Callithrix jacchus: one gene and its partners. The protein of the gene in region 2 interacts with the protein of the main gene of each other region in a biochemical or structural test. Links are inferred from orthologs where the notes say so. Each region holds a gene or a part of one and is shown on either strand. Other genes may lie near its edges.

What was found.
Region 1: the proteins of EEA1 (region 2) and RAB31 form a complex in vitro, tested with the Homo sapiens proteins (2 studies listed by BioGRID). The link is inferred for Callithrix jacchus from reciprocal best matches to the Homo sapiens genes EEA1 and RAB31.
Region 3: the proteins of EEA1 (region 2) and RAB5C form a complex in vitro, tested with the Homo sapiens proteins (2 studies listed by BioGRID and IntAct, with this or other methods). The link is inferred for Callithrix jacchus from reciprocal best matches to the Homo sapiens genes EEA1 and RAB5C.

What each region holds. Positions count from the first base shown.
Region 1 is NC_133514.1:53,218,813-53,228,724, forward strand, and holds the start of RAB31 (ras-related protein Rab-31), read right to left. Parts: upstream 5,816-9,912; 5' UTR 5,711-5,815; coding exon 5,672-5,710; intron 5,068-5,671; exon of another isoform or gene 4,813-5,067; intron 1-4,812. UniProt on the Homo sapiens protein: The small GTPases Rab are key regulators of intracellular membrane trafficking, from the formation of transport vesicles to their fusion with membranes.
Region 2 is NC_133510.1:88,430,410-88,440,437, reverse strand, and holds the end of EEA1 (early endosome antigen 1), read right to left. Parts: coding exon 9,857-10,028; intron 8,920-9,856; coding exon 8,681-8,919; intron 8,415-8,680; coding exon 8,294-8,414; intron 7,711-8,293; coding exon 7,612-7,710; intron 6,890-7,611; coding exon 6,767-6,889; 3' UTR 3,232-6,766; downstream 1-3,231. Other genes in the region: PLEKHG7 (pleckstrin homology domain-containing family G member 7), read left to right, coding at 818-925. UniProt on the Homo sapiens protein: Binds phospholipid vesicles containing phosphatidylinositol 3-phosphate and participates in endosomal trafficking.
Region 3 is NC_133506.1:121,571,910-121,581,737, forward strand, and holds the start of RAB5C (ras-related protein Rab-5C), read right to left. Parts: upstream 5,260-9,828; 5' UTR 5,159-5,259; intron 4,977-5,158; exon of another isoform or gene 4,517-4,976; intron 1-4,516. UniProt on the Homo sapiens protein: The small GTPases Rab are key regulators of intracellular membrane trafficking, from the formation of transport vesicles to their fusion with membranes.

The DNA of each region.
Region 1 (9,912 bases), on a different chromosome or scaffold from region 2:
CATTTTCAAACACATATCATACATGATAAAAACTAAGACAAATGAAAGTGTAAAATCTGCACAAGCATGCAAACACCAAATAAGTGTAGTCTACCAGACTTTGGACCAGGGCAAAAGTAAGGGCCACATGCCTCAAAGCTATTGACAAGCTACTATGGAATTAATGTTCGTGTCTCCCCACCAAAATTCACATTTTGAAGCCTAAACCCCCAATGTGAGACTATTAGGAGATGGGCATCTGAGAGATGCTTGGGTTGTGAGGGTAGAGCCCCCATGAATGGAGTTGGTGTCCTTATAAGAGGAGAAAGAGACTCAAAGACCAAAAGAAGGCAGCTGTCTGCAGACCAGAAAGTGAGCCCTCACCAGACACTAGATCTGCCGGCACCTTGGTCTTATACTTCCCAACCTCCAGAAGTCTGAGAATTAAATGTCTATTGTTTAAGCCCTCCAGCCTATAGTATTTTTATGACAGCAGTTCAAATTAAGACACAAGGGATGGGGGAAGAGACCATGAGAAGCTTGAAAATGCTCCTCACATGATTCTGATATACACACCAGGGACGCACTGAGCTCTGAAAGCCCAGGGAGGATGAAAGCAGCAATGTTGACCCTGAACAAAAAAGGAACAAAGGGACCCTGATGGATCCCATGAGCCTGGCTGGGTGCATAAGACACAGCGTTGCCATATGCCAGGCACTGCTGGGAAGACATCCCACTATATCATTTATATTTATTCTCATGTAACACAGCAGCTACCCAGAGTCACCAATGTTGAACATACTTTCCACAAATGGTTCAGTTTAATAAACGAATCAGGTGTGCCAAGAAATAAATGCCACTCCACCCTCCACACCATCCCCCCTCCCCAAGAAATGCCAGTCCCTGGGGTAAGAAAAATAGTAAGTTACTAGAATCTCAGACTTGGAGAGCAAATGTGATCATTACTATCCCAACCCACTATCCAGTGCATTCCTTCCTTCCACAATAACACTAACAAATTCCTGTCGATTTATTGAATACTCTCTCATATCGCGCTCAAAGCAACCCATGGAAGGTTGCACAGCTCTGATGATCTGCCTTAATGCGAGTATAAATCTGTTCTACTCTTGAGTCCTAGTGTCCTTGAGAAGACAAGAGGCCTTCTGTGTGGAGGCCTTGGACACAGGTAAAGTCCCCATTACCTAGATGTCTCACCAAATCAAAGGTATTTGGCTGCTCTTTGATGAACCACCACACAGATTCCAACAAAGATCACGAGGAGATGCTTCAACAAGCTCCTTACCAGAATCAAGAAAGCCCTCGGCTCTTCTAACTACTCACTCAGCTACTGGGGAAGTGGTAGAAATTTCTAAATTGTTGTCAAGGCAACCAGAGCCCAAATATAAATCTCTTTGGGATTCCATCAGGAAGCCGTTTTTAAGTGCAAGCACACAAACACCACAAGGAAATAACAAAACAAAGGTCCCCTCCTTTTCTTTCTCCTCCTCCCCACTCTCTTCCATCCTCCTGCTTCTTGCCACATGGTGATGTGTGTTAAAAATGCATACTGGGAAACTTTCCACCTTTGGGGTTGAAGCAGCTGCTGCCTCAATATTGTTTTCGTTAGTTTTTTTTTTGTAACATACTTTGCTGTTTTTAAGGGTGTTGCCTTTAAGCTCCATGTTTCATAATACAGGTTCAGATCACAAAGTGGGGCGAATGACACTTTCCTGGTAAGAAAGAGGTTCATGGGGTCCTGCCCACGGTGCTTTCCCCTGTCAGGCACACCCTCCTGCATGGCTGACTTCCATAGGTGATGGGGCTTAGGCCAGGAAAGGGCGTCCTCAAATGCTTGCTGCGCTATCCCCATGTGGAATAAACCTGAGAAAGTCCACACATGAAATGTGAGCCAAGGATTTATAACAGATAACATAAACAAACCCAATGCTCTTCAGTCTTTGGTTTTCCAAGAACAAAAAGCATTCAGAGAATGTTCCACAAGCCGCTGTCCATCCCTTGTGGGAGCATTCACCAAAAGAAGTAAGATCAGACATTCCTAACATGCCAGGAAGACAGGAAAAGTTCAGGTAGAGAAGACTTGGCACCTGGCCCAGTTTCACTCCAACCTCCTGCAAATGACTCTAATGTCAGGAGATAAGACCCCTGACCCCGTAGATGGAGGAGGAGACTACAGCAAAGAGTGACCAGCAGGGAGCCTGTGCTGAAAGTTCTCACTGCCCATGCCTAAACCAACCTGTACCTCAAATGGGAAGCACATCCCCAAGTCCTCACTGAGCACAGGACCAGGCACAAAAAGACCAGCCCCTCAGCCTTCCCAGTGAGAGAGTGAGATTCTGTTATGAAGTCTACATTCTCTATCAGCTTCTAAGAGAAACCCAACAGAAAGTGATTCAAACAGGGACAAAGAAGGTGTGGTTGTTAGGATCTTGGTCCTATCAAGACTTCAGGGAGGTGCCTCATGGCTGAAAAACAGGAAGCTGAGTGCCAGCGACACGCAAAACTTCACCCAGAAGAGACAGACCTCCCTATGAAAAGAACAAAGGAGCCCAGGGTTCCTGTTAAAATGTTGAAAGAGCCTGGGCGACATAGGGAGACCCCGTCTCTACAAAAATTATCAAAAGTTTAGCTGCGCTGGGTGGTGCACACCTGTGGTCCTGGCTACTTAACTGAGGTAAGACCATCACCTGAGCTTGGGAGGCTGAGGCTGCAGTGAGCCGTGATGGCACCACTAAATTCCAGTCTGGGCGACAGAGTGAGACCCTATCTCAAAAACATACATATTTTTTTAAAGGACTTTTGGACTGAGCACTAACTGACCCACAGGGTCTCTCCAATCAGAAGAATAAACCTAGGCTGAGGCAGGAGGATCCACTGAGCCCAGGAATTGGAAGGTGCAGTGACCTATGATGGTACCTCTGCACCCAGCCTGTATGACAGAATGTGACACTGTCTCCAAACAAAAAGAGAGAGAGAAGAGAGTAAACCCAAGACAGTTAAAATGGCTTTGATCTCCCTTAAATGGAGCCAATTAGGCTGGTTCCCACCCAGAGAACCAGCCTAATTGGACGAGTAGCTAGAAAGCCGGCCTGCTGCGCACATCTTACCCACGGAAGAGATAGCCAAACAAGAGATAGCCAAACGAGGGGATGTAACAAATCTTACTTAGTGTGGACAAAAGGTCATTTGGCCTTTCAAATAAAATGTCCTCTGACTTCAATCAAACTGAAACTTACAGCCACCCTCAAGAAAAAAGGAAGCCACAATTGTGGTGTGATATGATTGATGTTTCTTTTTTTGAGACAGAGTCTTGTTCTGTCACCCAGACTGGAGTGCAGGGGTGCGATTTCAGCTCACTGCAACTTCTGCTTCCCAGGCTCCAGTGATTCTCCTGCCTCAGCCTCCAGAGTAGCTGGGATTACAGGCATGGGTTACTACCACCCGTCTAACGTTTTTTTGGTATTTTTAGTAAAGACAGGATTTCACCATGTTGGCCAGGCTGGTCTCGAACCTGACCTCAAATGATCCACCCACCTCAGCCTCCCAAGGTGCTGGGATTATAGGCGTGAGCCACTGTGCCCAGCATGACTGATGTTTCAAAGCCTTCCGCCTGCCCAGAAACCTCTTCTTTCTCTGCTTTGGCATGGTTCTCCCAACTCCAGCTTCAAATTCCTACCCACAGAACTGGCAAAGGTAAGGCACCGCCTGCAGGAAGTCACTCAAAGAGTGTCTCATTCTTGGAGATAAAAGAAGTAAAGAGATTTCCTCCAGCTGCCTCCTCTTCCAGGTTTGCTAATTGCCACCCTGAACTCATGTTAGTAGGAAATGGTAGCATGTGTCTTAAGAGATCATCTGGTATAGTTCTCTGCCTTAAGAGGAAACATGTTATTATGCCCATTTCATAGATGAGGCCACTGAGTTGCTTTGCTTAAACCACACAGCTCGTTGGTGGGAAAGAATGAGAGCCTGGGTTTCCTGCCTCCTGACACAGTGTTCTTACCACTTGATCAGTGTCCTGGCAGGAGGATATAGAGACCTGTCCCTAAATACCAAAATTGAAAATAAGGGGTCCTCTAATAGGGCAGGGCTTAGACCACCTCAGTAAAAGACAAGAGAAAGAGTTTAAGAAAAAGAGGCAAAAACATGTCCTATTTCATTTTTCCCAAGGCCAATCCTGACAAACAGCACACATCAAGGCTGCCTCTTCATTCCTTGGAACATGACATTCCTTCTAACTCTCTGAAGGCCTTCCCGGAGGCCGAAATGGCTCCTCAAGAGGGAAGCATGGGATTCCAAGAATGTTTGTCTGGACTATATTAGAGGGCCTGGGGAACAGGGAAATCCACTTCTGCAACACCAATAGGGCAACAGAGAAAGACCAGACTAGATCCTGGCTGTGGCTGAGCGAGTGGGGGTAGGTGGGGATCTCCAGGGACTACCAGGGAGGGCAGGGCCTTCCCAGATCCTCTGGAATTCTAGACCAACTGGACAATCGAGTTAGGGTAAAGGATGGTTTTGGCAGAGGCCGGTGATGGGAGCTAGGGGAGAGAACATGGTCCTGCCCAAGGTTCCAGAAAAACCTAGAGAAAGCCTAGAAACTCTGGCACAATTCAGTCTTCACCTAAATCATTTCCTCTTTCTACAGTTCTTGTACCCCCATCTTGACAGATCAGTTCGCACAAGAATGCGACCCTTTCGCTGCTCTTTTTTAGGAAATGGTTTTCATGAGACCAGCTTTGCCAACGACATGGGCGGGTACACCAGGCGCCCATGCCAAAGGCTGCTGAAAACGCCCTTGGAACCAGCTCCTCTTTTAGAAGAAGGAATTCTGGAATGCGATGTGGGCCCCCGAAAGGAAGGGACCTTACATTGATCTGGATTCCCAGGGGCTGTTCGCCAGCGGCTCCCCTGCGTCCTCGCCGGGTCCCCTGCCTGTGTCCCCGGGCCGCCCGGATTCACTGCTTCTTCGTTTCTGGCGGCTTTAAGGCTTCTTCGGGCTGAGAAAACCTCACTTTGGGAGGAGTGGTGGTGGGGAGGACTTTCCCAGCCTGCTTCTTTGATCTGCAGCAGGTAAGTTTGCAGGACGCGCTCCACACAAGTCACTGCCTCACCTTCCACCCTAGCCGCGCCCTCGGCTTTCACCCCCTTGGCTGGGTTCGCTTTTGGTTTTATTTTTGTGTTTTAAGTGAAAAGGGGGCAAAAGAGGACTCAGCGATTTGGCCGAGCAACTTAAACTTTCTGCCGGAAGGAAACTATCAAAGGCGGAGGAGAAAGCCCTCGGGGTCCCAGACCCGATACCACTGCCGGGTCCCCGCCGAGGGTCCCAGCAAGGCCGTCGCGGATCCGGAGACGCGGGAACGGAGAGGAAAGAGCGGGGAAAGCCCAGGGCAGGCTCCAACCGGACCCCCGCAGGGCGAGAGCGGGGGCGGACCCGAGGGTCGCAAGGACGAGGGGGACGTGGACAACAAGGAGGGTGCGGAGAGCAAGGGACGCACGGACTAGGGGAGCGAAGGGACCCGGGTAACCAGGTGGGCGCGCGGAAGAGGGGTCGGGAGCTACGAAAGGGGTGCGGAGAGCAAGGGGACCGCGGGGACTGAGCGCGCGGGGTCAAGGGGAGCGAGGGGGCGCGGGGACGCGGGCCGGGGTCCCCCGGCGGGTGGCGGCCAGGACTCACCCCCAGAAGGCACACTTTGAGCTCCCGTATTGCCATCATGTGCTCGCGGCCGGACCAGGCCGGGGCTCAGCAGCATCCTCCGGGGCCGCCGCGCCCGCGCCCCGCCGGCGTCTCCCGCCTGGGTCCCTCGCTCGCGCAGCCAACGGGTGGAATCGCCGCCGCTGCTATTTCTGGGCCGCTGGCCCCGCCGTGGTGGGTCACGTGTCCGCCAGCCAGCTCCTCCCGGGCGCGTCGGGTCCAGGCTCGCCGGCCCCCAGCTCCCAGGAACGCCCCCGGACGGCGTCAGCCACCCGGGGACCTGCGGCGTCGCCGGCGGATTGCCTCCGCCCTCGGACCGGCCCCGCGCGGGCCAGGCTCCCCCAGCGCCCTCCGGCATCAGCTCTCCCGACCCCGCCTGGCCGTAGAGTCCCAGTGGGAAGGAAGGACGGGACAGACCCTGCGGAGACCTGGCCCCAGGACCAGCGGGTCCCTGCAGATGCCATTCTCATCTGAAAAGCGGATGCGGTCGGCCGACGCCGTTTGCTGTTTGTGTAGGAGCGCTTGGAGGTCTGCGGGTAGTCCCATCCTCAAGTGACATTCTGGGTCCCAGGCAGAAGTCAGGCCACTGAGGGGGCCGCAGTGAGGACAGGGGTGAAGAGAAGGGGTTAACTTTTCAGCCTGCCTTCTGGACGTTCCTAATACCCAAACTTCCGTCAGCTCTGCCAATTTCATTTTTCTGTATGTAGCTGAAAATGATTCTAGAAGCAAAACCAGCTATCAGTGTCTGAAAGAGGAAACTTGCATTCTGCAGAAAAACTCTCTCAGTAGAGCAAATCCTGCGACTTGTCTACAAGGCAGAAATCCAGCCCTCTGAAGTACAGGTAGAAACATGGAGATCCCAGCAGACCCCAGCATCCTTCCTAACTAGGAAATGTGAAGAGGCTGTGGCCGCACACAGTCAGGGGAGGCTTGGGTAACCGTTCTTTTCTCCATGTATGGCCTAGTGCACCTCATCCACTCAGATGACTTCATTCGTTGCTGCTACAGAAATGGCAGCCTTTTCAATGTAATCTGTCTGAATATTCACTGGCATTTCAGATGAGAAAGGTTGTTTTAAAAACTGATTTTTTAAAACTTCATCTCCTATTCCAAACTCAGGCCTCTCTCCTAACCTTCCAATTTTAATCAATGGCATTTCCATTCTCCTAGCAGACCACCCTTGAGGCTTTGTTCTTACAGAAGCCAGGTTGAAGCTTCCCAGCACCCAAGTGGCCCCATCCAATGGGAAATTCCAAACCAAGGCTTCCAAAAAGATGAGTCCTGGAATGCTGGAGTCAAAATGGGACACAAAACAGACAATTCACAAGTAAATTCCCCAGAAGAGCAGGAACTTTGCCTTGGAGATGCAGGCTTGCGGAGGTTACTCAAATGTACTAAATTGTTCAAAAGGCAGCCATGGACAAGTTAGAGTCCATTGTATCAGTATCCCGCCTTGTTTTTGTATCCAAAGCAGAGTCTTCCATGTGGGCAGGGTCAAAAGAGGCTTGCCCAGAATCACACAGCCCTGGTCACAATACCTCCCTGTCCTCAGATTTGCTAATCAGAAAACCATAGCTACACAGTTGCAAAGACACTTACTTACTTCTCCAAGGCCTTCCCAGCCCTCACCACACCTACTAAGACTTGGATGTCCACACTGAAATGTGTCCTTTTGGCTTTCCAGCTCAGTCCGCAAAAGTCAGTCAAACCAGAGTGGAAGCTTCTGCCATGTTCTACATCCTGTGCATTGAGTGGGGCTTTGTGAAATTGCCTTAGGTTGCTAAGGGCAGAACCGTGCCTAGAGAGAAATAAGCAAACCAGCCAGGCACGGTGGCTCACGCCTGTAATCCCAGCACTTTGGGAGGCCGAGGCGGGTGGATCACAAGATTGGGACCATCCTGGTCACCATGGTGAAACCCCGTCTCTACTAAAAATACAAAAATTAGCTGGGCATGGTGGCGTGTGCCTGTAATCCCAGCTACTCAAGGCTGAGGCAGGGGAATTGCCTGAACCCAGGAGGCGGAGGTTGCGGTGAGCCGAGATCGGGCCATTGCACTCCAGCCTGGGTAACAAGAGCGAAACTCCATCTCAAAAAAAAAAAAAAGAAAGAAAGAAAGAAATAAGCAAACCAAATTTCTCTTGTGTTCCCTTGCTCTTTTTCATGACCGCTCTCATTCCACTCTATTCTCCACTATAGCCCGGATGTCTGGGACACTTCTGTGGTTTCTAGGCTCTCCCAAAACAGTCCCCTATCCAGGCCTTTTCTCTCTGAGAATAACCCCAATCCATTTGTCCTCCCCACTCCTAGTTCTATTAAAAATGACCTCATTTGCATCTCCTTCTGATCAGGCCTTGGGTTCTTCTTTACAAAGTTGCAATCCTCGTCTGTCAGCTAGACTGTGTTCATGGGTTTATACCCTCTCCCCAGCCAGGTCACCCCTGAACTTAAACATGGCCTCATGAAAACCAGGTCCCCATCATCACCCTAAGGTAATCCATAAAGGTCTGGCCCAGGAAGGCCGGAAGATGACTGCTAGGAGACATATTTTAGGAGTGACAGGTCAGAGGAGTGACAGGTCAAGGTTTACAAACCTTGTTTTGCGTAATTACATCTTTTTTATGTATGGAACTATAGTGTCTGCAATGTCAGTTAAACAGCCTTTTTAGTATTTCTCGAAAGCTCTCGATTTTTTTAAAGTACCATGTACTCTATTGTTACAATCTATGGATTAATGCACTAAGGGCCCATCCCGACTCCTCTGGAATTTTCTGCAAATATGTAGTTCTGGTATAATTTCAGCAGGGATAAAAATTCAATGATACATAACTGACAATTTATCAAATTAAAAAACAGAACATGCAAGTTTTTCTTATGAGAATTTTGTAAAGTAAAAGGTCATTGTGCTAATTCAGACCTCAACTTCTCTGCTGCTATAAAGTCTCCAACAGCAAAAGCCAGGAGCCGTCATAAAGCTCATCGTGTTTTTTGATTCAGGAAATCCTTTTTTGAAGAATAATACACAAAGATGAGAAGTAAACAAAAGCTGCCTGTCTGACTGTAAACACATATACAGAAAAATAAACAAATGCATTAGAGAAACAAAATAGAATTATCTCTATGGAGGTACAGGGAGAATTGCTGCACTAATTGTAACTCAAATCTCCTAACATTTAGGGAATGATTAAGCAAGACAGGGTATCTTTACTGGATCTACTTAATGGTGTACAAGAATATATGTTACTTAGATATTAAATGAAATGTGTATACTACATAGATATATAGAGCTGTTTACAGTAAATAAGGTGAAAACAATTATGACTCAAAAGGTTAAATAGGATGAGCGATATACGTATGTTATAATGCCCTGGAGTGCAGGCTGATCCCTGGAGGCCAGTATTGAGTCATCTGGTCTGCTCAAGGGCCAATTAAGAAAAAATAAAAATGTTTACAAACCTTGTTTTTCATAATTGTATCTTTTTTATGGAACTATAATGTCTGCAATATCAGTTAAACAGCCTTTTAGTATTTCTCATTTACATAACAACTCCTTCCTTCCTTCTTTCCTTCTGTTTCAGAAACTTTCTAAATAGCATGTGCTACCTAATCTTATTTGTAACTCATGCCGTTTAAATAAATTTTAAGGAGATGAATCCTGGACATACCAGGGTAGGAAAGGGATTTGAGAGATTTAGAGAAACAGAGGTGAGTGGACCCCACAATCCACCCCCAGACTTGAAAAAGGAGACATGGCCTGGAAACTGAAGGAGCCTCTGTCTGTGGGGAGGGGAGTGTCCCTGAGAACTCCAAGGAAGGTGGCTGCTTGGTGGAGGTGCTATTAAGTAAACGGATAGAAACTGCACAACCTCCCTTACAGCTCCAGATGTCTTCATGTGGAAAGCGCGGTGACATCTTAGATGGGAGACAGGGAGGGTGGGGGCTCGCCTCCTCCTCTTCTCCATCGCCTGGAATGAGAGTGCTCAGAAGTGTTCCAGAACAAGCAGACAGCTCACACTGAAGACAAGGAAGGTTCTGCTGGGCCCTCACAAAGGATTGGTGTCAGGTGATAATGTTAAACTTTCCAGATTCCTGAGTGCCAGCACTGGGCAGCTTAAGCCAGTCTTAGCATCTAACTGGCCTCTTCACTGACACTCCTGCCCAGCAACCTCTATCATCCCTTGGATCCCTGGCTGAGCTTAAAGTGTTGGGTTAAAAGAAAATAAGC
Region 2 (10,028 bases):
GGGAGGGATACATCTAGTCCATATAATGCTGCAAAGTCTCAGTGTTGACAATTTCCTCACACTTGCAGAATTGACATAAAGACCCTTACTCCTGCTGCAGAAGCTCAAGAGCTGCCTGTTCTGCAGTTTCTGTAGGAAATGGGGTACGAATTGCTTTGGATTGCATGATGATGAACTTTTAAGATGCTCCAATCAATTACCAAAGTGCAAATAATAAGATATTAGTGTAAGAAGGGCCTGCTGCAATAATGATCCGTGTCAAGTCAGCCTGTCAGCCTTTGAAAAATTGCCATTGTTTTTACAGCTATGGAATTGAAAGAGCAGCTGCCTGACTCTGATTTCTCCTAGAAGTTTCTATTTTTGTATTTCCCCTGGTAGGCTTTCATCACAGCCACAATATGGCCAGACAATAAATGCAATATTCCATTTCCTGAGTCACTGCCCTCAGTCTCTTTCAAATTATACCACTGGTTAAGAACTTGTTTTCACAGAGAATAGAAATTCCAGCAATGTCACTTTCAAACTACATATATTCTCAGTACTCATTTTTCTAATGAGTTACTATTATGGTTTCTTGATTACTCATAACTGTTATCCAACTTGCATATCATACTCATTTAGCCCATTTGCATTTTCCTATATGATTAGAAGTATATTAGATATAAGAAAGAAAATGGAAAACATATGCAAATATTTCATTAGTCTTCAGTTTTAAAGAGCTGGTCAATAAATATAGCAGAAAATATTAGTCCAATATGTGAGAAATTGTCAGCTTAACATTCTAATCTCTATTTCTATATTTTTCTTTTTTCAACAGAAAACATGGATGGCACAAATAACAACAGCAATTTCTTGCTTTACCAGGAATCAGGAAACCAAGAAAATATCTTTATTCACATTGCCCACAGAATCCTCTGAAATTTAGGAACCTAAAACAAGTGGCATGCCTTTTTAGAAGATTAGTGTTTAACGTATTATCTCATTCAAACTTTTGTTAACACTTAGCTAGTGATGAGCTACAAGGAAATGTGCATTTTAAAGAAGTTCCAGAATTTGGAAATTTGAGCTAGGAAAATCCTCAGTATAGAGGAATAATGACTGCAACGAATTTGAACCCTGCAGAATTTCTTGACAAGTATGTACTGACATCCAGATTACCTTCTAATGTTTCAGTCAGGTTTGTAAGAGGTGTGAGTGAAGAAAGGTGCTAATTTGTAAAGGGTGAATGATCAGATAAACGGAGTATCAGAAGGAAAACGATGTCCACTGCTTGTGTCCAATTGGCACTCCAGCATCTCACTTTGTGTGTATCTATAAAATAATGAAACCAATTTTCCTTCATGGCTTTTCAATCAGTCTTACTGCTTTATAGTCCTACCTCAAACACAATGTTAACGCTTTAGATACAAAGCTTGACTATTCTTTTAATATACAAAGAAGTAAAGAAGGACTACATTTTATCAGCAATTTTGAAATTCCTATTCTCAAACTCATCTCAGGTAAACTTTATAATACTATAACCTGGAAGTAGACAACCCCAAAGACTGAATTCCATTACTTTAAGATGAGGGGGGAAGAAAATCTGGCTTTTTCCAGTTAATACTTTTGCACAGCTTTTCTTGGCCTGTTGTGAAGTGTACAGATTTTCATACACATAGTAAAATATCTGTCTCTTAACTTCATTTTTGGAAGAATGATGATGTTTGCCATAAAAATCCTTTCTGGTTTTGATTGGAGGTTTGTGTGTGTGACAGAACACACACACCTCTGATCACCTAAATTTATCTGGCAGGACTTCAAATTTCTTCAGAATTTTTATCAAGAAAGGCATTTTGAAGAATTATTTTATTATCATGGCAGGATATATACTATTAACTATATTCAAGGAACTAGTTCTTAAGGTCCGAATATTGTATCAAATGGAAGTCCACAAACTTCCATTTCAGGCTCGTACCTTTTGCAGTTTGCAAAGTGGAAGTAGTAAATTTATCAAATTTGGCTGTAAGACAACTGAAGCCTTAGTTGATTTTGTTAAGCTGAAGAATGGGATAGAGAGGATGATATTTGGGCAAGTCATATGCACCGTAATTCTTTGAGAAAGGTAAAATTTCACCAGGCAAACAAGGCAGTAAATCCAAGTGCAGCAAAAGGCTTTTGTAAAAGGCAAGCATGATTAGAATGGAGACTAATAATCTCTTTATAATAATGTCAGACATTTAATAGAAGAGAAAATAAAAGGAAAATCTGGGAGGCAGTAACTATTATTAATAGTTAAGAATAAATGAGGTGGGGAGAAAAGCAAAGAAGGAGAGAACGGACTTCAAGCAAATTCCTAGAGATGGCATCTGGATGGGATTGAAAGCAGTTATGTCCAGGAGAAGACAATATAGGTTTATGCAAGAGAAGATTTTATAAAGAAATTTCTGGCTGAAAAAAAATTTTAAATTAACAATCATCTTGCACATTTTTAGATATAAACCAACCTAGGAGGTAAGCAGTCAACTAGGATGAGGTGAGGTCTCAAATTCCTTGAGTTCCATGAATCCAGCAACCACAGATTTACATGTATAAAGGTAGTTTTCTCCCTCTGGATCTCATTAAAGGGATAGAAAGACTGACATTAACAAAATATGTAAAACAGTTCAAGAATACACTGTACATAAACTGAAATTTTATAAAGCTCACAAAATAACACGTCTAATATACAATATATTAGATGCTTGAGGATATGCACATTAAACTCTTCAGAAGATTAGCATATTTGAATGAAGAGGTTGTGGGGGAGGAACAAAAACCATTCTAGAACCATGGTTTCCAGGAAGAAAAAATAGTGAAAACAATGGCACACTGGGCCTTCAAAAGGTATCTTTGGGGAGGGGAGGGAGAATAAATAAATAAATAAATAATATTTAAAGTATCTTTAAATGGTCATCTGGGTATTAAACACAGATACAAAGTGACATAAGGGATTAATTACGTATTTTTTATATTTCTTTTTAGTTTTGTTAATTCTCTATAATATTAAATGGAATGTCTAAAGCAAAATGGCATTAATAATTTCTCTTAAGATCAGAAACTTACTATTCTAAATTAAACAACATTAAAACACCACTGTCTACATCCAAGTGCAAAGTCCTAATATTCTGTAAATAAATAATGCAAAATGGTTAAGATAGTGTTCTCTTTTGTTAAACAGACAAAACAATTTATAGTCAGAGAATAAATCTATACTTTAGAAAGAAACGTTTTTTAATATAATCTTTAAACATATTAAAAAAACAAAAGCAACAATTCAATAAGGATCCTTCCATTGTATTTTATACAGACTTAAATGGTGTCATGTACTTTATCAGTGACATTTATAATTACTAACCTTCCAATCACTGGGTCTAGAAATTGCAGTATTTACTGAGCTAACCTTTCTCAAAAATAAGGCACAACTACATGATCACAAGTAGTAAACACAATACAAATAATGAACTCAAAAACTAAATGAGAAAATGTTCATGCAAAAGTATATATAGAAGTTATGAATGTATGTTCCAGTTCAAGGAATTACAGAATGTCATATACACAACTGCATCGTGTTACAATAAATTTATTACTTCTACACAGAAAGAACTTAGTGACTTCTAGTTCTATTTTACACAATTTTACATAAATTTAGTAAGTTTATGCACAATATTCACATCCGCAACAATAACAAATTGATCATTAAAATTCAGGCAAAGGGCATTTAAGACACGATAATGTGTGGCACATTATAATTACAGAATACCATTCATCAAGCTATGTCTAGGAATACTATAATGGTGGCACATTTAAATCTTATGAATCAAATCATCCATGGTTTTATAGCCAAAGTGCATTTAAAAAAAAAAAACTTCTATAGTCAAACAGGTCATGAATATCAAAATATATGATCATAATTTGCTCTCCACTTAAAAGCTAACCATTTTTATGCAAATGTGAGGTTTAAAAAAAGGGGGCTTTAAAGTTCTCAAAACTATATAAAATAATCATGAAGACTTTTTAAGAGAGATGGGAAAATAAACAAATTTGGCAGTTACTATTTAACATTACTGTCAGGAAATACTAACGTAGCTACTTCCACAATAAGAGGTAGTTGAACAAAATGTTATTTGTACACTGCACTGAGGTTTTTGTGTTTGTTTCCCTCATGTTTTCTTCAAAGGAACAAATCCTATACCAGCAGCTTTGTCTACTTTCCATTAAAAAAAAGTCTGTAGGTATAGTTTATTGTACACTAACCCAGCAAGACTTAATTTTAACTTACATTCTGTGCCAGGGTTTGGAATTTACTAATGTGATGCCAATGTGTCTTGCATTAAAGCCAAGAGCTGTGCATGCCAGCTCTAACTCACTGAGAAAAAATAAATAGTACCAGCAAACATCTAAAATCTATAGCCAATAGGGACTCCAAAGATGATTTTTTATTTAAAAGGAAAAAAATTTAAATTTTTGTTTCCAAAACACTTTACATTGGGGAGAGATAGTAGTAAAAAAATGTTAGGTTTCATTTATATTATCAGTATTAGTAGCCTATGGTAGGCAAATTATTCAGGACTTATGAAATGAAATTAGATAAAAATTTTAAAAATCATCCAAACATCTATATATGGTTTACTTGTCATCTTACAATTTTTTTGGTGACTATGTTAGGGGTAAAGGGGAGACAAAGAGAAGGCCTGCAGGGCATCCCATTAGGAGATAAAGTGAACAAATATTCAAATCCAGATTTTTCATGGCATTTTATTATCTCAAAAACAAAAAACAGTACTGCTGAACATCTGTGTTTTTCCAGCATACTTACTAAGTTATTTATATGTAAAAGTATAGAATTAAGACTATTTGGAAGGATTTATCAGTATATAAAAATGCATAAATAGTTCAGTTTATATTATCCAACTATTATTTTTAATAAAGAGCCACTGTATTTCTTCATTATATATGCTCAAGGATATATGTTTATCCAAGTCCAGGGACTTAATCAGTATTCTTAATAGCTAATGACAACAGACAGGGTTTACTTAAATTTTTAAAAAAATAATTAAACAAATATGTAGTGATCTCTTACAGTTTATATATGTTGTAAGTATGGCATAAATATGATAATTCCATTTCAGAATATTTGAAAGCAAATGTATACTATAAACTATTCATTATAAATGAAATATGAACTACTGTTATAAAATGACTGCACTGAATGAATGTATAACTACATTTCTTCTCTAGAAAGATTAATAAACCAATATTAACGACTTCTCTCTTGCGATGTTTTACAATTTTCCAAATTAATAAGACTATGCTAAATTAAAGTTTGATTCCATTGTTCAGCATACAAACAAGCTAATTCTTAATTAACCTTAAGGTGCTTAGCCATGCTGTTTCAGTTTTTATTGTAACTCTGGGATTCCTAAATATATTTATTTTTGGTGATACTCTATTCCCAGCTGTTAGTTACTTGAAGGGAACTTCACAACATTATTTTTGCAAAATTATAAGTAAAACTGGGAACAGCTGATATGGAACACCAAACTCAGAACCATTTTAACCTTTAGTCAATTTTACAACTTTTAAAAATTCTTCCATATAAGGTAAAAAATATAAAATAAAATATTTAATGACTTCATGACTTCTTACCATTTTATATCTTGTTTTCACAGACAAAACCACAGCAATATTAGTTACTAGCTTTAAGATGCAAAATTATGAAACAAATGTATGAAGCTGAGCTATGATTGAAAAGGTTAAACCAAATAAAGGAAAAAAGCAGATCTGTATAAAACGCAAACTCAGAGAGTTTGTAAAAAGCAAACTAGAGAGACAAAATAAGGGTATGATATGAAGGCTGATTTCAAAAGACTTCTCACTTACAAGAAACCGAGAATAAGAACATTATACAATGTTTATTATTCACCCTCGAACTGAAGGCAAGGGTAAGAAGCTTTCTAAGATTCTAAATGGACAGTATGTGAGAGTTTAAGAGAGAGACAGAGAATGACCAAAAAAAAAAAAAATTAACCCTATTCTTTAAAATACGACCCCAGATAACTGTAAGTAAGCAAATTGATTTTACAGACGTTTTCGTAAAATCCACCCAAGAGAATTTAATTAACATTGTTAAAACAAAAACCATTTTTGAATTCATGGTCACTGTATTTTAAGATAAACTGTATTAAGAACACCTAAGTAGTAAATTTTAAACATAACAATGCAACTGAGCTATGAACCTATATATAATAGAAAAAGATAGCAGGAAAGTGTTATAGTTCTGTGCATGACTTCACAAAGAGAATATTTAATATAATTAATGTGCTCTTGTGCAACAAAAACAGCAACAAGTGATATCATCCATGTACATTTCTGCACATTAAATTTAGGAGAAAGAAATAAGCTATGGAATTGCATTCTTCATTTGTGAATAATGAAATTATATTTAAAAAAATACATTGCTATTTTCTGTCCAAAGTTTATTTACATTTCATTGGCTAATTCTAAACTTGGCATGAAAGCTATTCCATGAGGCTAAATGGAAAAAAAGTAGTGAAAGATGGTAAGCCCAAGTCTCACAAAAATAGAAGAGTTTTACTTGATATCCGTAACATTCCAAAATATATGAATTCCTATTTGGTCTAGTATTGCAACCAGTGTCCAAATCAAATAGTAGTCCAAGACCTCTATTAAGTACATTTATTAAAAATCTAATGTTAGTGTAATATTACTCTGAAGTCATGATAACCCATTATCCTTGCAAGTCATTGAAACATGCATCACAGACACGAACAGGCTTCTTGGAAGAAGGAGTTAAGGCATTTTTGGCTGAACATTCAGCACAGAAGATATTTCCACACTGTCGGCAGTGATGCTGTAAATAACAAAAATTAAACAATTTCAAGAATAAAAACTATACCAAAAGTATTATGAAACTACACAAATATCACCGACTACACTGTGAAGGTATATTAGCTTTCAAGTCATTGATATATTAGTTAATGATATAATGTTTCAATATGTTAATTTAATCCCTTTGTTATAATTAAACTGAATGCTTCCTATTTATCAAACACTATGGTAAATATTTTACATGGAATTTATCATGGAACTCTCAAAAGAACCAGAGAGTCATTTAAAAAGTTCTTATAAAGTATCCCTATCAAATGAAAAACTATTCCTATTTGCCAAATGTTTCAGGCATTAATGTCTTCAATAGGAATATAAACTTAAATCATAACACAATGGTAGCATTTAGAATATATTTTTTAAAAATCTCTGCTTTTTCTTCCTTTAAGAACCTGCTGATTACTAAAACATGAGTTTAATATTGGCACACTGGTTCAAAATTGATTGTTCCAGACAGTAACTAAGTTGGAAGACAAAGACTGAAGTTAAAAGTAAAACTCTAACATATATGCTAACCAGAAGCTAGACTGCATGAAGTTTAGTTATTCTATGTTGCTGGTAAAGTTTACTGATAAGTAGAAAATTGTTCTGTCAAATGAAGGATTGTTTTGATGGTTGAAATATTAATTAATTTTCAGTGACAAATGAAATCCAGAAACATAGTTACATGAAGAAAATTTCATTTACCCGTCTCACTGTTACTGAAAAGCCTTTCCCACAGGCCATACAGTTTTGTACTTCATTGTCTTCGGCCCACTTTCTATTCAACGCTTGTGTATGTTTGATCTGTTTTTTTTAAAAAAAAGTATCAATATATTATAATATTCAACATTTTAAAGGATGCCAGAATTCTATAAAGTTTTGATTATATAATCCATAAATTAAAATTTTAAAAAACCAGAAATACAACTGGTCAGCTTCAATTGTCAAAAGTAGCTATAGTCATAAATCTGAATGACAAAATAAAATTAATTGAATATTATTCCTGAAACATCTTGCTAATGTTTGCTGATTTCTGATCCATTCTAAAGGTAATGATGAATCCTTCCTGAGGACTCTGAGAATATTCTCAGATCACTTCTTTAACACATACTGACTCATCTATTCTTTGGTATTCTTGAATTTTGTAGTTCTCTCCCCATACTAACAATTGGTGAATGACACGGTTTTCTAATGAATCTCTGAGGACTCTGAAACAAGTTCTTTTCTTTTATATTTCATTATCCATAAAACCTACAATACTGCTACACAGACAGTAGCTATTTGAAAGTATTTATAAAACATGAGACTTTTTACAAGTTAAAAATATGCTTTGCACTAAGAAGTCACTCTAGACTAAAAAGCTGCCTCACAACCATAGATGACTGACCTGAAGTGACTGGTTTTCTCTGCCCAGCTCCTGCACTGCTGCAGTTGTATTATCCAGCTTTCTTTGCAATTCTAACACTTTGGTTTGAAGCTTTTCTATTTCACCTTCTCCTTTAAGACATCTGGAATAGATTGCAAAGAGGTAATTAATTTTTTAGAAAATCATTAAAGACTCTTCTAGGGTATAGATAATAGACAACTTTAGTAATTGTAAATATATTAATTTCCACTATCTGATTGTTTTACAGGTTAATTTTTAAATGGCTACTTAAATTCCTATAGAGGCTTATGTACTTTTCTCAAGATTCTATTTTTAAAAAATATGGAATATGATAATCTTTTTATCACTTACAATGGAAATAAACTAATTCTACTAGCTATTAATCACCTTTCCAGTAGTGCTCTCCTTTCATCTTGATTATTCTGAACCGTTGCTTCTAATACTGCAATTTCACCCCGTAAGTCATCCGTCTGCTTCTCAAGCTCGCTAACTCTCCGTTGACTAGATTGCCACTCCTTCTTCACAGTGCCTAAGTTTTCATTTAATGCTGTAATCTGCATGGTAAGTTTAGCCTCATTTTCTTCATGCTTCTTCATTCCTACTTCTTTTTCTTTTATTTCGGAATGCTAAATAAAAGGAAAAGGGGGGGGAATATATTACAAAAATAGTACAAAATAAATTTAAGTGATTTTTTAAATTTAAAATATTGGCAATATAAATAATATTGCTCCTTCAGGAATGGAGACAGGAGAACATATTTCATTATACATTAATAAACTGATTCACAAGCATCTGTGTAATTTGAACTGCCTCAAAGGTCATAATGCTGAAATGATGGTTAGTGATCATCATGACAGTGAGCTAAAGTGACACAATGTGAGATATTTCTTTTTCTCCACCAGAGCAGTAAAGACACATGTGGTTAGGGAGGGATAGCAAGGTGCCCTAGAGACAAAACTTAAATGTCCTTATCCTTCCCAAGTCCATAGCATTCTTTTCTCTACCAAGTCTGCCAAAAACCAATATGAAAGCTTCATATGACTGAACTTAAAATTGAAACTCTTCAACTAAAATATTCAATGGCCAAGTTATCTGGGCATATTTGGACTTAATTCAACAGAGGAAAGCCAGATGCTTCCCATTTGGCATGTGCAACTTAGGAAAGTAAAAGAAGACTTTGTTCATCATAATTCCAAACTCAAGTTTCCATTCCCCTTTATCAACATTCACTTTGACCCAACAAATGGGTTTAACATGACTAGCATTCACACCATTGACAAGATCTACACAGTTGTGGAGTTGTTTAGTTTCTGACACTTAAAAAAAGTGTTTTTAAAATTATATTTCAATTCAATGTTCACTTACATAAACAGTAATATGGTTACAGGGTAAAATATTTCCAACCACGTGTCAGCTATTTAAACAAATCAGATTTCTTGTCTTAATCAAAAACTAAAATGTTAGGAAAGCATTTCAATCAGATCTTGTAAGTAGAATAGTCCTCTCACTGGACTGATTTAAACTTCTATTGCAAAACACACTTCCCACCATCAACTCACTGACCAACTTAGCTTCTTTCTCAATAAATTCTTTCTTCAGCTCCTCTTCTTCCTTTTTCACCTGGTCTTTTAGCAACTGCTGATTTCTCTTCTCCTGTTCAACAGCTGCCTTCAGGGAGTCTGCTTTTCCTTGAAGGTCTAATTTCTGCTGAATTAGAAGCTGTTTAGCATCCTTA
Region 3 (9,828 bases), on a different chromosome or scaffold from region 2:
CTTTGGGAGGCTGAGGCAGGCAGATCATGAGGTCAGGAGATGGAGACCATCCTGGCCAACATGGTGAAACCCCATCTCTACTAAAATACAAAAAAAAAAAAATTAGCTGGGTGTGGTGGCGTGCACCTGCAGTTCCAGCTACTCAGGAGGGTGAGGCAGGGGAATTGCTTGAACCCGGGCGGGAGAGGATGCAGTGAGCTGAGATTGAGCCACTGCACTACAGCCTGGGCAACAGAGCAAGACTCCATTTAAAAAAAAAAACAAAAAACAAAAAAAAACACAGTGCTAGGATCACAGGCCTGATCCACCACAGCCCTGAATCCAGGCTGGTCTTGGACTCCTGGGATCAAGCGATCCTCTTGAAGTGCTGTGATTATGGGCATGAGACACTGCACCAGGCCCCAGCATATAATTGATACAAATGTTGAATCATAATCAGTGTCAAGGCTGGTCTCGATTACCTGGGTCAGGAGGTCTGACCAACATGGAGAAACCCCATCTCTACACAAAATACAAAAATTAGGGCCGGACACAGTGGCTCACACCTGTAATCCCAGCACTTTGGGAGGCCAAGGTGGACGGATCACCTGAAGTCCAGAGTTAGGAGACAATCCTGGCCAACATGGTGAAACCCCATCTCTACTAAAAATATAAAAATTAGCTGGGCGTGGTGGTATGCCCCTGTAGTCCCAGCTACTTGGGAAGCTGAGGCAGGAAAATCTCTTGAACCCAGGGGGCGGAGGATGCAGTGAGCCGAGATCCCACACTGCACTCTAGCCTGGTGACAGAGCTAGACTCCAACTCAAAAAAAAAAAAAAACCCATTAGCTAGGCATGGTGGCGAATGCCTGTAATCCCAGCTATTCAAGAGGCTGAGGCAGGAGAATTGCTTGAACCCAGGAGGTGGAGGTTGTAGTGGGCCGAGATCATACCATTGCACACCAGCCTGGGCGACAGAATGAGACTCTGTCTCAAAAATAAAATAAAATAAAATAAAATAAAGAAAGAATCTTGGCGTTGAATTATGATTTTATGATTTACCTTCAAACCCCTACCTACCCATCAGAGGCAAAAGCTATTTTCTAGTCTCTGCCAGCACTGGACTAGCTTCTTTCTTTGTTTCTAATTCTGCAAGGTATCTAGCATCCCCATTTTACCCACTGTTAAAAGATAAGGTCACATCTGACCTTAACAGGCCCACTGTTAAAAGATAAGGTCACATCTGACCCCAAATCCCAGCCCCAGCTCTACCACTTTCTAAATGCATGACCTTAGGCAAGCTACTTAAGTTCCTTTAGCATGTTCTCTAAAGCAGGAAGAAACATAGGCTCATTGAGGTCAAGTAACAAGCCCAAGGTCACACAACTGATAAGTGGGGGAGTCGGGATGAGAACTCAGGTCCAACTGCCTCCAAAGTTCTAGTGCCTTACACCCTACCACACTGCCTGTTTCCTGGGGAAGGGCAGGAAGTAAAAAAAAGTACTTGCCTGGTGGGCTGAATTTAAACGTATGCTCTTGGCTGGGCATAGTGGCTCATGTCTGTAATCCCAGCACTTTGGAAGGCCGAGGAGGGTAGATCACAAGGTCAGGAGTTTTGAGACCAACCTGGCCAACATGGAGAAAGCTCATCTCTACTAAAAATACAAAAATTAGACAGGTGTGGTGGCATGCACCTGTAATCCCAGCTACTTAGGAGGCTAAGACAGGAGAATTGCTTGAACCTGGGAGGTGGAGGTTGCAGTGAGCCAATCGTGCCACTGCCCTCCAGCCTGGGCAACAACAGCAAGACTCTGTCTCAAAAAATACAAAAACAAAAAATGTATAATCTTGCTCTGTTTCCATGTAAATTCTAATGACCAGAGCTCCTGGTGGCCAGCCACATTCTTCCCACTTGCAATCAGCAGGCAGTACCAGCAGGGAAACAGAGGACTAATCAGAGGCCTCCTCTGCTGGTTCCCCCTCAACCCTGCCCAGAGGGACCCCTGAGTTCACTCACTTTAACTTTCATTTTCTAGCCATTAAGACTTTCAGGTTCCCAAAAAATTAATGGCATGCAGATGTCAGCAAACTGTCTGGCCCTGAAAAGGACTGACTTGGGACTCCTGTCTTGGTCCTCAGAGGCAGAGAAGAAAGGGGTCAAGAGAGAAGACAGGAGTTTGGGTTGAGGTGGGGGAAGAAAATGAGAAGAGAGCTGTGCCAGTGATGAGGAGGGCTAAAGGATTAACAGTCTGCCCTCGTGGTGCAGCGCACTCACCCTGCATGTTCATTCATTTAGCAAACAAACCAGGCCAAAGAAGGCCCACTATTAAAAGATAAGGTCACATCTGACCCCAAATCCCAGCCCCAGCTCTACCACTTTCTAAATGTATGACCTTAAGCAAGCTACTTAAGTTCCTTTAGCATGTTCTCTAAAGCAGAAACACATACTTGCCTTATCTTACTCCAAAAAAGAAAAAAGTAACAAAAATTAAAAACAAGTGGGGAAACAAACCCCACTATTCCCAGGGTACCTGTGAGGAATATGTATGAAAATAACTTTGTAACTTTAAAATGATTTTTAAAAATTAGTGTTATTGCCCCTCTACAGTTTAACAGCCCACTAATCATGAGAGGCAAGAGGGCAGGAGAGGAACAGCATCAGAAAGGAGGGGTTTCTGTCACACACAGAGCCATAGCTTTCTGCCAAGCAGTCAGACCTCTGCTTGGACTATAATTTCTGGATGCCAGAAGCAGCTGCATTCTCTCCCAAAGCACTGGGGCCTTCCTCGTCTGTCTAAATGGCCGAGCTTCCCCTTCAAAAGTCATTTCAGGCCGGGTGCAGTGGCTCACACCTGTCATCCCGGGACTTTGGGAGGCTGAGGCGAGTGGATCACCTGAGGTCAGGAATTCGAGACCAGCCTGGCGAATATGGCGAAACCCCATCTCTACTAAAAATACAAAAATTAGCCTGGCGTGGTGGCACGCTCCTGTAGTCCCAGCTACTTGGGAGGCTCAGGCAGGAGAAGCCCTTGAACTCAGGAGGTGGAGGTTGCAGTGAGCAGAGATCATGCCACCACGCTCCAGCCTCGGTGACAGAGCAAGACTCCATCTCAAAAGAAAAACAAACCAAAAAAAATTGTTTCAGAGTCAGAGCTGGAAGAGCATGTCCAGACAAAGGAAAAAAGGTCTCCTCAGAAGGCTGGTCAGTCTCATCCCAGGACTCCTGAAGACTGACAAACCATGGTCCACTCCTGAAGACGTAAGTCTGGTCAGAGACCAATGGCCAGTGAGCAGTCAGGCCTCTCTGACCCTGCCCCTCAGATGCCCAGGCTGCCCAGATCAGAAAAACTAGATTGGCTGAAGAAGTCTCCAATGAGCCCCCAAGGAACCCACACAGATAAAGAGCTTGTGATCCAGCTGTTGACCCTAATAAGGAAGGCTTCTGTTGTCCAATAAAAAGTGAAATAAGTAGGCTGGGTGCGGTGGCTCACACCTGTACTCCCAGCACTTTTGGAGGCCAAGGCAGGCGGATCATGAGGTCAGGAGTTCAAGACCAGTCTGGCCAACATGGTGAAACCCTGTCTCTACTAAAAATACAAAGTTAGCCGGTATGATGGCATGCGCCTGTAATCCCAGCTACTCGGGAGGCTGAGGCAGAGATTTGCTTAAACCTGGGAAGTGGAGGTTGCAGTGAGCTGAGATGGGGCCAATGCACTCCAGCAGGGGGGAAGTGGGGGCGCTGGGGGAAGGTGAAATAAGTCCTAGGTCTACTCACAAGACTGGAGAAATCAGACACTAGTGACTGTCCAGAAGTACTCAAAAACACCTCAATACCAAAAAACAGCACTTTTAAGCAGCACGAGAGGGTGGTAAAGGTAGCTCAGAAAACTGAAGAGCTACAGACATTCCCACTATCTATCCCACTTGCTATCTACATATCCACTGTAGATAGCAAGGGTCAGTCACGGCCTCAGAGACAGGCTACTCCTCATTAAGGTACAGTCTCGGGCCTGTACTTTGGCCACATAACAAAGCTTGGTCAGAGACAGCAGCTATTTCACACACCTAAGCCCCAAGCAACAGTCCATACGGTTGAGGGAACCAGCATTTTCTGGCATGTGTGGGAATTCTTCAGGCTACAATTCAGACCCCAGAACTGCCAGTGGGATCTTGACTTAGTCCTCAGTAATAAGTCCAAGCCCAGAAGGGATTAGATACCAGCGCGGTGTGGACCTGTTGCTCAGGGTGGTTTATGTGTGTGTGTCTGGAAGTGGGAAAGAGATAATTCTTCAACTCCAGACTCCTCATTTTGGGTCTTATTCTCCTGCCTATAGACACACGGACAGCAGTCCCGGGAGAAGCAGTCCCTTTGAGGAGGCTTGAAAACTACTCACGTGCTCTGGGAGGACAGAGCTGAGCCTGGAGCAAGGGGGGAGGGGAGAGAAGATAATGAATGGGCATATCCACCCTGATCTGTGATCTGTAGCTAGGATTGAGCAAACCTCAGCTAAATTCTTCAGGGGCAGAAAGAGAGAGACACTCAGAGAACAACATAACTAGAGAATAGGGCAGGGAGACAGAAGGGGCAAAGCAAGAAAACATCTCATTCCTACTAAATGACCCAGACTTTTAACTGAGGTCCTGGTTGGTTTTCTGGCTTGAGGAAAGAGGGAAGTAAGGAGTTGTGGAAGCGCAAATACACTTCTGTGCGTGTGGAACGGTCTCACCCAGACGACCCCCTCCCCCATAGGAAATCGACATATTCCTCTAGGGCTGGAGGGGACAACTGGTTTCGTGGGACAGGAGGAAGGAAAACGGCGACAGACAGCACTCCCTGTCACTTCTAAAAGACAAGAAGGACAGGTTCCTTCACACCTGGCAAAGATCCTTCGATTCTGGGAGCAAGGCGAGCGGAACTTAGGGTTCCTCTCTCCCACAACTGGAATGGACAGGCCAGAGAACAGTCATAGGAGTTTCCTTAAGGCTCACGAAAGGCAGGTAAGCTAAAGAAAGAAGCTCCCCCGCTCCTTTGGCCCGACGCCTGGGGAACCCCTTAGGAGGAGGCTACGGGTCGGGGGAGGGGTCATTATCCCCCTAAACGGGCTGGGTGGTGAGTAAGGGCTGCCCTGGAGATGCTTCAACGCAGGCGAGACACCAGGTTCGGGGACAGGCATACTCACGGCGGCTCCGGGACGGCAGCGTTACTTGGGGCCGGGACTCGGACAGGCTTCGCTTCTCTCCCCCCCCCCCGGCGGTGTCCCAGGCTCCGGCCTCCACTTCCGCCTTTCAGCCGCTCCGGATCCGGATCTCCACCTCCGTCCCGCCCCTCAATACTACCCAGGTGATTGACAGGGTAGAGGGACTAATGGAAGGCACTCTTGGCCGACCTATCCAGCGGCTCCGGTAGAAACGCGGGAGTGGTTGGAGGGCGCGCGCGAAGGATGGCGGGACTTGTAGTTCGCAGCGCTGGGAGGAGTTGGCGGCTGCCTGGGATTTGGGCTTAGGGTGGAGCCGGCTGACTGCGAGGCGGAGCCCGGCCGGGAATTATTATTTTTTTGTGAGGAGTCTCAGTCTGTCTCCCAGGCTGGAATGCAGTGGCGCGATCTCGGCTCACTGCAACCTCCGCCTCCCGGGTTCAAGCGATTCTCCTGCCTCAGCCTCCCGAGTAGCTGGGATTAAAGTCATGCACCACCACGCTCGGCTAATTTTGTATGTTTTGTAGAGACGGGGTTTCACCATCTTGGCCAGACTGGTCTTGAACTCCCAACCTCGGGTGATCCGCCTTCTTCGGCCTCCCAAAGTGCTGAGATTACAGGCCAGAGCCACCGTGCCCGGCCTACGGCCGGGAACTTTTTAAGGCCAAGCCTGCCACCCGCGTCACCGCCGGTTCCGGACGCCCGAGGGAAGGCGAGTGGCGGAGAGTTGGAAGAAGGCAGAGGACTGTGTGTGCAGAATTGGAAAAGGAAAAACATGGTGCGAATGAATATGCACGCGAGGCTGCGTGGACCAGTCCTGTGAACTCGCTGATCTGGAGCAGCCCCTGTCTGCGCTTTCCGGCCAAGTCAGCTTGGGAAGCCCGATTGCTGGGGGCCTCTGTGATGGGGAAGGCGATGAAAGCGATGAAAGGCTGTAGGAAAGGTTCTCTGCAGGATGCTGAGTGAGATCAAAGGGAGAGCTTCTGCCACCACCCCCTACTTGGTGTGTCGGGGGGGGGGCCGGCGCAAAGACCATCTCCGCCTCTGCCTTCCCCTGCTCCCAGCCAGGGTCAGCTCTTCTCTCTGACGCGGAATGTAGAGCTGGATAACCTCTGGCTCGGACCTCTCCATCTGAAAATAAAGACTAGAACCACCCCCACTCTGCCCCTCCCCATATGGATCAGGACTATTTGTTTCTTCTGCTCCTCTGAATATGGATCCGGCCAGCTCCTGATTCCGCCCACCCTTACCTCTCAACACAGACTAGTACCTCCTCTTCCTTTGCATGTTACCCTCCAGGGACACTACTGAAAACCTGTGTAGAATCAAAGCTCACTGGAGACAGCTGTGACCATTGTGCCTCTAGTACTGGCCAACACCGGGCATATCCTGGAGCCTCAGCTGGAGAATCGACCTCTCTGGGACAACCTGCCACAAAACTGTGCCCACATCTAGTTCCATCTGGTCAGCAGGGTGTCTCTTTCTTACATCCATAACACACAATCCCCACTCCAGTGCAGGTGATCATGAGAGAAGTGAAAGGGAAGAGGGAAGAGGGCTTGTTGGCTTGTTGGAAGGACAGAGTGGATGGGGCGGAGTGGGATTCCTAGCAGGCTTTGGCTGCTGACAGGCTAGCTCTTCCCCCCAGCCCCGCTTCCATACCCAGCTCTGCAACAGTTCCTTACACAGGAGGGATGGGTAGTCCCCTGGGCCCACCCTTCCAAGGCTGGGGGTGGGCCTGAGCCAGGATTCTGTTCTTCCCACATACTGTGTGTTTATGTGGCTATGACTGAGGTGCAGGGGAGAAGGGAATATAACAGGCCCATAGTGATTAATTAAGATTTCTCCCTCATTTCTGGGGCCCCTGGTGGTGTGAATGTGGTGCCAAATAGATTGGCTGGTGCCTCCATCCTTCCTAGAGATAGCAACGGGGCCCTGGGGTACAGCGGGGGGTGAGGGGGGTAGGGGTGGGGAGTGATTGCTATGTTGCTCCTCCAAAGCCTTGGGACTCTCAGACTAACCCCCAGATATACCCAGAGCCAATAACTACAAAAATAAAGACTTTATTTTCTATCCAAAAGTGAGCCCAAGATGTTGGGTGGTAGAGAAGAGCTGGAGACCTGGGTGAGTTTTGGAGCCATCCAGGCCTTGCATGAAACCATGTTGTCATGGGGGAGAACAGGCTTGGCAGAGGTCTGGGGGTCGGGGAGGGATAGGGCGTGCTGTAGGGATTTTTGAGTTGCTAGTAGCAGAAGAGACCAGCCTGAGAGACAGCCTGCAGAGAGACAGAAACAGAGATGTTGCCAGACTCATGCCTAGGAGTAGAAGCAGACACTACTGGGCCCCAAAAGCACCTGTTAGGCACAGGGACCTGGGAACAGGCTCTTATGTAAGGAGGCGGGGGTTGCACCTCCACCCGTGGGCTCCACCTGGATATTCCAAATTGGGTGAGGCCCAGGAATCTACTTTTTATTTAGTTATTTATTTTTGGGCCACCATCCTGGCAGAATCTACATTTTAATGGGATCTCAGGTAGTTCTGATGGACACTCAAGTTTTGGGAACTCAAATACCTACAGAGAGCAGACAAAAGTTTCAAACGAGGGAATCTAGCCGGGTGTCGGGAGATGATCATGAAACCCTTGACCGCAAGTGGTGACTGCGAAGTAGGGCGCAGAGCAGATTCCATTAAGGAGGACAGTGGCCACCTCTTCGCCCCTGCTGATTTCAATTATTGCCAGATGGAATGTTGGCCCATGGTAGCCAGATGTCCTGGGTTTTTTGTTTTTGAGACAGAGTATCACTATCACCCAGGCTGGAATGCAGTGGTGTGATCAATGCTCGCTGCAGCCTCAACCTCCTGGGCTCAAGTGATCCTCCCACCTCAGCCTCCGGAGTAGCTGGGACCACAGACACACACCACTACACCTGGCTAATTTTTTATTTTTATAGAGTTGGGGCATGGCGGAGGTCGGGGGGGTCTTGCTATGTTGCCCAGGCTGGGTTCAAGTCATTCTCCCACTTCAGCTTCTGAAGTAGCTGGAACCACAGGCATGCACCACTACACCTGGCTAATTTTTAAAAAAAAATTTTTTTTCTCTCTCTTTTTTTTTCTTTTTTTTTTTTTTTGAGATGGAGTTTCACTATTGTTACCCAGACTAGAGTGCAATGGCACAATCTTGGCTCGCCGCAACATCCGCCTCCTGGGTTCAAGCAATTCTCCTGCCTCAGCCTCCCAAGTAGCTGGGACTACAGGCACGCACCACCACGCCCAGCTAATTTTTGTATCTTTAGTAGAGACGGGGCTTCACCATGTTGACCAGGATGGTCTCGATCTCTTGACCTTGTGATCCACCCACCTTGGCCTCCCAAAATGCTGGGATTATAGGTGTGAGCCACCGCACCCGGCCCTCTCTCTTTTTTTTAAAATAAAGATGGGGTTTCACCATCTTGGCCAGGGTGGTCTTGAACTCCTGACCTTGTGATCCACCCGCTTCAGCCTCCCAAAGTGCTGGGAGTGAGCCACCACGTCTGGCAAAAAAGTTTTTTTGTTTTTTTTTTAGATGAAGTTTTGCTCCTGTTGCCCAGGCTGGAGTGCAATGGCACAATCTCGATTCACCACAACCTCCACCTCCCGAGTTCAAGCGATTCTCCTGCCTCATCCTCCCAAGTAGCTTGGATTACAGGCATGTGCCACCATGCCCAGCTAATTTTGTATTTTCAGTAGAGATGGGGTTTCTCCATGTTGGTCAGGCTGGTCTCGAACTCCTGACCTCAGGTGATCAGCCTGCCTTGGCCTCCCAAAGTGCTGGGATTACAGGCGTGAGCCACCATGCCCGGCCCAAAAAATATTTTTATAGAGACGGGGTCTCACTATGTTGCCCAAGCAGCTCTCGAACTCATGGGCTCAATCGATTCTCCCACCTCTCCCACCCAAAGTGCTGGCATTACAGGGATAAGCGACTATGTCCAGTGCTACATTTTTTAGAGAAACTGGAATATCTGGATTCCTATATAACCTCTCTCTCTTTTTTTTTCTTTTTCTTTTTTTGAGATGGAGTCTTGCTCTGTCATCCAGGCTGGAGTACAGTGGTGCAATCTATGTAACCCCTGCCTCCTGGGTTCAAGTGATTCTCCTGCCTCAGCCTCGAGAGTAGCTGGAACTATAGGCGTGCGCCACCATGCCTGGCTAATTTTTTTTTTTTTTTGAAATGGAGTTTTGCTCTTGTTGCCCTGGCTGGAGTGCAATGGAGCGATCTCAGCTCACCACAACCTCTGCCTCCCAGGTTCAAGTGGTTCTCCTGCCTCAGCCTCCTGAGTGGCTGGGATTATAGGCATGCACCACCACACCTGGCTAACTCTGTATTTTTAATAGAGATGGGGTTTCCCCATGTTGGTCAAGCTGGTCTTGAACTCCCAACCTCAGGTGATCCACCCGCCTCGGCCTCCCAAAGTGTTGGGATTACGGGTGAGAGCCACCGCACCCGGGCAGTAACATTGCTCTTAGGGTCTTCAGCAGAGACCCAGGGGCTGAGACAGAAGACCCCACAATATCACTAAGCTATCTCCAGGCTAAATCCTGCAACCTGTCTCACTTGCTATGATCCTGCCTGGTCTTGCCTTCATGTCCTAGGCTGGAGATGGGTCCCTTGCCCG